Linked DNA regions of Lonchura striata. Each later gene encodes a partner of the first gene's protein in a complex. Links are inferred from orthologs where the notes say so. Each region holds a gene or a part of one and is shown on either strand. Other genes may lie near its edges.

Region 1 (3,750 bases):
CTCTTTTGAGCCGGTCAACTGTTCCTCAAGTCTCCTACAGATCCCAAGGCAAAGATTTCACTCTTGAACTAAGTGAATTCCTCAGCTCAGTGGAGCTGTCCATTCTACCTTTCAAGGGAGGGGCACATTCCTCTCTGTAACTGGTTTCACTGCAGTGTTTCTACCGCACTCTTTTCGGCAGGAAGGTCTTCAGTGGGCGCATCAAAGCACTTATCATGTGCAACCTCCAGCCCCTTCACTTCTGGAAAACACAACCAGCAAACTCCGTGATGAATGGGAGACTATCGAGGACACTTTTTTTTTCTTTCAGGAAGTGATGAAATGGTCCAGACAGGATAAAGAACAAGATAACCCTACAGTTTCTATTCCGTTCGCTATTTTAAATATTTGAGGAAATTACCTAAACTTTCTATTCTTCAATGTCTCAATTTCTATTATTATATAGTATTCTATAGAATTCTTCAACGAGTATGAACCAGAGGTAAGAAAAAAGTATTATTTGCTTCTGTAACAGCAGCTCCACAGGTGCCAAGTGCTCTCCGAGCAGCAGGATCAGTGTCCAGCCCGGGCACACTCGGTGATGAGCGCCCACAGGGAGACGGCCGGGCGGGGAGCAAGCTCGCCGAGCAGGGCTCCGGCTCCCAGGGCCTCTGGCCGCCTCCCCGGCCAGGGCCGGCCGCCGGCCAGGGCAGGCCGGGCAGTCCCACACGGACACACGGCCCCGCACCCGCCCGCCGCCGCCCCGGAGCGCTGCCCGAGCCCGCGGAGGGGACGGGGCCGGCGGGGCAGCCCCCCTCGGCGGCGGCGCTGCTCACCTCGTCCCGCAGCCCGGCAGCGCAGCGGTCCCGGCGCGGCCCCGCGCCGCCTCCCGCAGCAACCGCAGGCGGGCAGCGCCGGCACCGGGGCGGGCGGAACCGCCTCATCAGCCGGCGCCGTCATGTGACGGGAGGGCTCGGCTACGACACAGGGAGCGCCGCCGCCTCCCTCCCGTCCTTCCCACCCTCCCTCCATCCTCCTGAGCCCGCAGCCGTCCCTGCCCGCTGGCGCTCCCGGGCGGGGCGGGCGGGGTGGGTGCCGGCGGGAGCCGCCGAGGGAGCGGGGCCGCCTGAGCGCAGACTGTGAGTTCGGCGGTGGCGGAGCGGGACGGGACGGGACGGGACAGAACGGGACGGGACGGGACAGAACGGGACGGGACGGGACAGAACGGGACGGGACGGGACAGAACGGGACGGGAGCGGGTTCGGAGCCCGTCCGGCCGCTGCCGCCCTGGAGCCGCTGTGCGCCCTGCGGAGCGCAGCCTGCGGCGGCACTGGGCACCTGGGGGGGCTCCGGCCGCTCCTTCTGGGTCAGAACTGCCTTGGGACAGCGCACTGTCAAATTATCGTAATGCTCCAGAAAGTGTTTGGTGAAAAGTCAAGCCTGGTCATAATTTTCCATAGGTGTTTTTGAAGCACAGACGCTTATTTTTGGCGCTGCACGCCGTGTCCCGCAGGAGACGCGTGAACGAGTAAAACTGAGCAGGAAATGCAAGCACAGCATGGAAGCTCGTCCTTTAGCAATAAATAATGAACGGAGCTCTGTCATTTCCATTTGCTATGAAAGTTTTCCTTATTGCTAAAGCCCTTATGATCACTTCGGTTGACTTTTTAAAGTGAATCTTAAAAACACATTTTGTGAAGTGACTTTGCTTTCCTTGGGCCCAATCTCCTCGCCTGGTCATAATTGCTTCACTATTTGTGACTGTTTCATTTTTTAATAGTGTTCTTCAACTGTTCTTCAAAAGATCACACTTCCCCTGCCTGCTCAAACAGTTCACTTCTCAAACTAAGTGTACGTGCTGAAAATGAATTCTGTGCATTTTTTCATTTCAAAAGCTGTGGATAATTTAGATTTCATAATTTGAAAGATTGGAGAGTATGCTTAAATATCCACAAATTAAATTATCAGAAACATGAATATAAACCACGCTGGATGTGTGTGGGTTTGTTTTTACAGGTTATTAATGGCGTGGCTGGTCTCTTCATCAGGCTTTCTGCTTCCAGTAACCTAAAGAGTAAGGATCAGAATCAGACTGCAGGACTTCTGCTGCTCTGTCACACTGAGCTCCACAATGGTGGATTTTCTGGCTGAAAACAATCTCTGTGGTCAGGCAATTCTTCGGATTGTTTCCTGTGGAAATGCCATCATTGCAGAACTTCTGAGACTTTCCGAATTTATTCCTGGTGTTTTCAGACTAAAGGACAAGGCTGATCAGCAGAAGTATGGAGATATCATATTTGATTTCAGTTATTTCAAGGTAAATCCTTTTATTGTTAAACTTCTCCTTAAAGCATTGCTGTCCAACATGAGGATGTTTTAGCTTGTGATACAGCCATTCCTGACTATTGTGTTTATTACTATTACATCTTCCAAAATGTTTGATGTGTCATCTGGCTGTGAATTTTGATAGATATCAATTATATAAGACATGAGTCTTGGATTCTGGGGAGGTAGTAGTAGTGGCACTAGTAGTAGTGGTAGTAGTGGTAGTGGTAGTAATTCCTGCAGGACCACTAAATTAAACTTCCTCCAGCAGGTTCTGAGGCTGCATGGTTGTTTGTTTCCCTTCAGAGCAGTGCCGTGGGCAGCATGCCCATCTTTCTTCTGTTAATCTGTAGCTTATTCTTTGCAGCCATGAAAACTGCTTTCTGCTTTCCTGTCTGACAGTGCTGTGATTGTTCTTCCTCTGGACTTGTCACATGCACTGAATAAATAAATAAATAAGTCAAGGAGAAGTGTCCATGGAAAGCCCTTATTTCTCTTTCAGAATTAAGCTTTTAATACAAAATTCCCTCTGTCGTTTTCCACCATGATTAAGAAGGAACAACAGAGACTGTCTAATCTGACTTTATTTGGACTGTCCAATACAAGAAATGTTAATAATAAAGCAAGGGAGGCACTTTTAAGTCAATTTGATTGTAGTAGGAGTTGTAAATTTCAGGCACCATGAGGTTTGGATACTGAAAATCCAGAGCACAAATGATTTCACAGTTACCTTTAGATCTAGGTGTTTGGTAGAATTTTTTTTTTTTTTTTTTGCACAAATTACTTAAAAGTCTAAAAGCAGATAGCTGTAATTGGTAAGAAATACAGTAATCCTTAAAGCCTCAGTAAATTTGAATGTTAAGAAAGCATAAGTGTGCTGTTTTTCATCATTAAAATCAAATAAATCCATAGAAGTCATACTGTTAAAGCAAAGATTAGAGAATTTGCAGATATTTTTACTGCAAATGCACCCCTTCTGTATTCACAATTCTTAGAATTACTTCTGAGGAAAGATTTGAGATTTGAAAAGTTGAGACTAGTTACTTTGTCCATTTTAACTTCATAGGCAGTTTGGCACCTGTTTTTATCCTTTGTTTTATGTAGATATTTTGCACAGAAAGAGAAGCAAAGAGTATTTTTAAAAACTCAAATTGTCAGCTGGATATTTTCAATTGCATTTTAATAGTACTTCCAATTAAACTTTAGCATTATTTTCCTTTAGTTGGTGATGCTAATACTGCGTGGTGCTTATGAGAAATACGACAGTGGTAAAGGGCTAGAAAAGTTGTATTATTGCTTTAAGGAAGTCAGGTTCTTCATCCCAAATCTTTTTCCCCCATGATTGTTAATGACAAAGTGTCTGCATTAATTCAGGAGACAAGTACTGTCTACACATGTAGAGTGTGGAAAAAACATGTCTAATATTTTGAAGCAGTTTGAATATAT
Region 2 (3,750 bases), on another chromosome or scaffold:
TTGCAAAAGCAACTCTCCACACATCTATTACTCAAAAGTGAACACTTTTAATAGCAAACAGACAATATTAGAGATTATTAACATTTCTTGCCAACACAAACTCCTCAGAAATTGAGAAATCCTGAAGGACAAGCCTACCTAACTAGGAGAGAATATCAGGAAATCTAAACTCATCACTTATTTTAAGTACTTATCCCACCAACATTCCTGTAAAATACTCCAAGGTACATGATTACAACACAATCTCCCACCCAGAACATACCAGTAATGAGAAAAAAAATAGATTAAAGACTACCATTAACTGAGGGTTTAAACTGGTCATCCTACTTCCTGTGATCTGTATCAAAAAGCCTTCCTAAAAACCCAGGAGTTAAATTCAAACAGATATTATGTCAGATTTGCTATGTTAGAATATTTATATTTTAAGCAGTATTAATATCTAAGTAACTACAGGCAATGAATCTGATCTTTGCAGCTTCCACAAATGATCAATTACTTGGATTCAGTTAACACGCACAAGCTTAAAACTTCCATTACTTCTCAGCATAAACTTGAGAAGGACATGCAGCCTCTTGGTCTTGTCATAGCGCTGATATCAGCTCCAAGAGGACAGGATTTCCTCAGAGGAAGGCACTGCTGGACAGCACTGGCCTAAGACATCAATCTCCTCTATTGCCCAGCAACAAAGAGCTTTGATGTTCCCCATATGTAAAAAAGTCAGGCAGGTCTCTGCTCCTGAGAGGTAGGGTTAAGATAGAGAGGGATGCTGAGCTGATGTATCCTGCTCTAAATGATTCCTGATTGCAGTCCAGGCCTGTTCTCCAAGGCTGGGTTCAGTGGGGATGCTCTAGGTTTCAGCCATGGCTCCCTTGTGGTTTTGCACCCACACAACCAAGGTCATGGAATTTCTCATCACATGCCTGCATAATTACTAAATCACTCTTAATTATATCAGAGAGCCAAGACCTCACTGGAAAGGCAAAGCAAACAAAGAAACCAATGAAGCCTCCTCTGTTTTTGGAGAAAATTGGTAATTAAAAGTCATGAGTGCACAAAGAGTGAGGGAACAGCAGCACAGTCACTGCTCAGTACTCAGAAGTGACTTGCATACAAAGCAGCAAGCTTATCTCCCTAGGGAAATTACACAGGGTACTGTGTTAAGACAGCAGTGTGGAGACAAAAAACAGGGAAAAATGGAGACAGAGAAAGAGCAACTCCTGTACTATCAAGAGCTTCATTTACCTCACAGAGAGGGACAGTATTGCCAACCAGGCCCAAGTCTGAGAAGTGCTTTCCACATGTTTATGGCAGCTCTAGAAAGCCTTCTCCCAGCCTTAGATCATGAAGTGTTCCCCTACTTTGAAGAGCACAAATGAAGTAGACCTTGTCTTCAACCTAATCCAGCCCACACACAGCCCTTGCCCAAACAAACACTATTCCAGTGGAAAACCTTTTTACCCTCAATAACCTGAGCTCAGCCTTAGAGACTGCTCTTTCTTCAGAGGCTACCCTTCAAAATGTCATTATCAGAAACCACAGAACTTCAATCTACCCTTAAAAAAACCTTTCAAAACTCAAAAAAAGACAGAATATCATGACCCTGCTCACACCAAAAGAAATTAACCTAGATAGTCATAGGACCTGCTGAAATCAAAACATGTGCTTTTACTGATTAGACTATGAGAAGATAAATGCTGATCTGTTTCCTTCCCAACAATATTCCGCACCATCTCAGAGCACTGAGATGTCAAAGATGGCACTGGACAGAAAAAGACACCATGTTATCTACCATCATTTGCAAGCAAACACAAGAATCTCTCTGATCTGCTATATTGACAGTCTTAAAGATCTAATCCTAAAGATGATCATATGTAAGAGGTGCCAAATCTGGACCAAATCCTTGAAGAGATGAACTTCAATGGATTATGATACTGTGGCAAGAAACCCAGTCTTACTCTGGGCACAACCCTTCCAACACACAAAAAGGGAAGGGTGAAACACCAGAAGCCCAAAGAGAACCTTTTGTACATTGCAGAGATCAGAACAAAGAGACATTTTCTACTTCACTGCTTCAAGTACAATAACTCAAAAAGACAAATCTTCAAGATACTCTAAATTACAATGCCTCCCCTTCAAAACATGAACAAGAAGGAATATTACTGCAGAAGCAGTAATACAATTTGTGGAATAAAAAATTATTAATTGATAAAAATGAATAAAAATTAATAACCAACAATCTCTGACTAATTGCAGCCATTTTATTATGCTTAACTTTGACAGACTCATATCTAATAAACTCATATTGAAGTGCATCTAGTCCTTTTTCATCTCTTTTCTGAACTTCCGTTGCTTACCAGTGCAATGCCCTTTCCCCTTCACTGCTGCAACCTAAGTACAGCACTCTGTTTTGTAATGCTGAATGCTAAGCACCCAACCCTCCAGAAGAGCACTTTACCTGTTGAAGATATCACCTGACACCTTTTGCAGATAGTAAAGTGCATCTGCCACCTGCTGCACAGCCTCCTCCCTGCGTAGGTCTGGCTGGATCAGGGGCACTGAGTATGTCTGCCCTTCCAAAAAGTGCTTCTGGGCTTCTGTGGCCATTGTACCTAAGGGAAAGAACAAATAGGTCATTACACATTAAACACACTGCCACTTTATCACAGCAGTTATTCAGGGACTTCTACTTTCTGCTCCACTAATTATTTTAGGAAAGCATTTGAAACAGAATTGGTAAGCTGAGGAGAAAGGCACAAGTAGTCAGACTGACATATTGGATTTTTAATACATTCAAGGCAGCTACAGTGAGGTGAGACTCTTTTGCTTATATGAATGTTCTTGGAAACCACAATTTTATTTTAGCATGCTACTTAACAAATCTCTGCTCAGTATTGTGCTGAAAACAAAGATGAGAGTTAGAAGCAAAGTCAGTTCTGAGTGGCAATAAGACTCATCACAAATCACCCTGTCCCCTCCTCCCTTTCCTCATATTCCATGTGGCTATATTTCAGGTCATCCAACCCTATTAGCAAAAGGCAGTATTTCATCTTACACTCTGCTCCAAGAAACACACCATCAGGCCTTCCAAGAACAGAAGCCATGAAATTACAAGGCATGCATGGGCACCCACCCCCTTGCTCCAAGTAGGTTAATGAGAGTTCTTCCATTCTGAGACACCCAGGAGCACTTTGTTGCTTCTGGACTGGATTTTTCCTTAGTAACTATCTTGAAAGAAGCCTCCATATTTTAGAATCCTTTCATATCTCAAGCCTAACCAGTCACCAGAATGTTTCAGTTGTGTGCCACACACCACAGCTGTATGCACACTTTTGGATGCAGTGGGCCAATACCACTACTCTATAGCTCAGCCAGGAGAATGTCACCCACCACCCATGTTTCCATCCTGAGCTTTGCTCACCTCTCTCTCAGCAATTCCCAAGAAGTTCGCCTCCCATGTCTTTACTCACAAAAATAACAAAAAAATTCCTGGACTTGGAAGAACATAAAGAGAAAAAAAAATATCCATTTCTCTGAGTACATTAGAAATTGCAAACTCTCAAACACATAACTATTAGGACATTCTAGATATGAACAGAGTAGAGGATCCATACAGTTTTCTAACCCAAACTCTACTGTTAGGTCTACACAAGTCCCTCCAAATTTGTTTTGTCAGTGTCTCTACTCATTCAGGCTGTAAAAAAACAGGTGCTCATTACAGGGTTTCATCACACAGAGCTCTGTACATCTGCA

Evidence for each region. Proteins that work in one complex are often made in the same cells at the same time.
Region 2: WASHC5 (region 1) and WASHC1 share a complex: the UniProt entries of both Homo sapiens proteins name them as parts of the WASH core complex. The link is inferred for Lonchura striata from reciprocal best matches to the Homo sapiens genes WASHC5 and WASHC1.

What each region holds. Positions count from the first base shown.
Region 1 is NC_134603.1:11,868,851-11,872,600, forward strand, and holds the start of WASHC5 (WASH complex subunit 5), read left to right. Parts: upstream 1-963; 5' UTR 964-1,118; intron 1,119-1,995; exon of another isoform or gene 1,996-2,027; 5' UTR 2,028-2,110; coding exon 2,111-2,296; intron 2,297-3,750. Other genes in the region: NSMCE2 (E3 SUMO-protein ligase NSE2), read right to left, coding at 816-923. UniProt on the Homo sapiens protein: Acts as a component of the WASH core complex that functions as a nucleation-promoting factor (NPF) at the surface of endosomes, where it recruits and activates the Arp2/3 complex to induce actin polymerization, playing a key role in the fission of tubules that serve as transport intermediates during endosome sorting.
Region 2 is NC_134607.1:11,556,357-11,560,106, forward strand, and holds the start of WASHC1 (WASH complex subunit 1), read right to left. Parts: upstream 2,635-3,750; coding exon 2,456-2,634; intron 1-2,455. UniProt on the Homo sapiens protein: Acts as a component of the WASH core complex that functions as a nucleation-promoting factor (NPF) at the surface of endosomes, where it recruits and activates the Arp2/3 complex to induce actin polymerization, playing a key role in the fission of tubules that serve as transport intermediates during endosome sorting.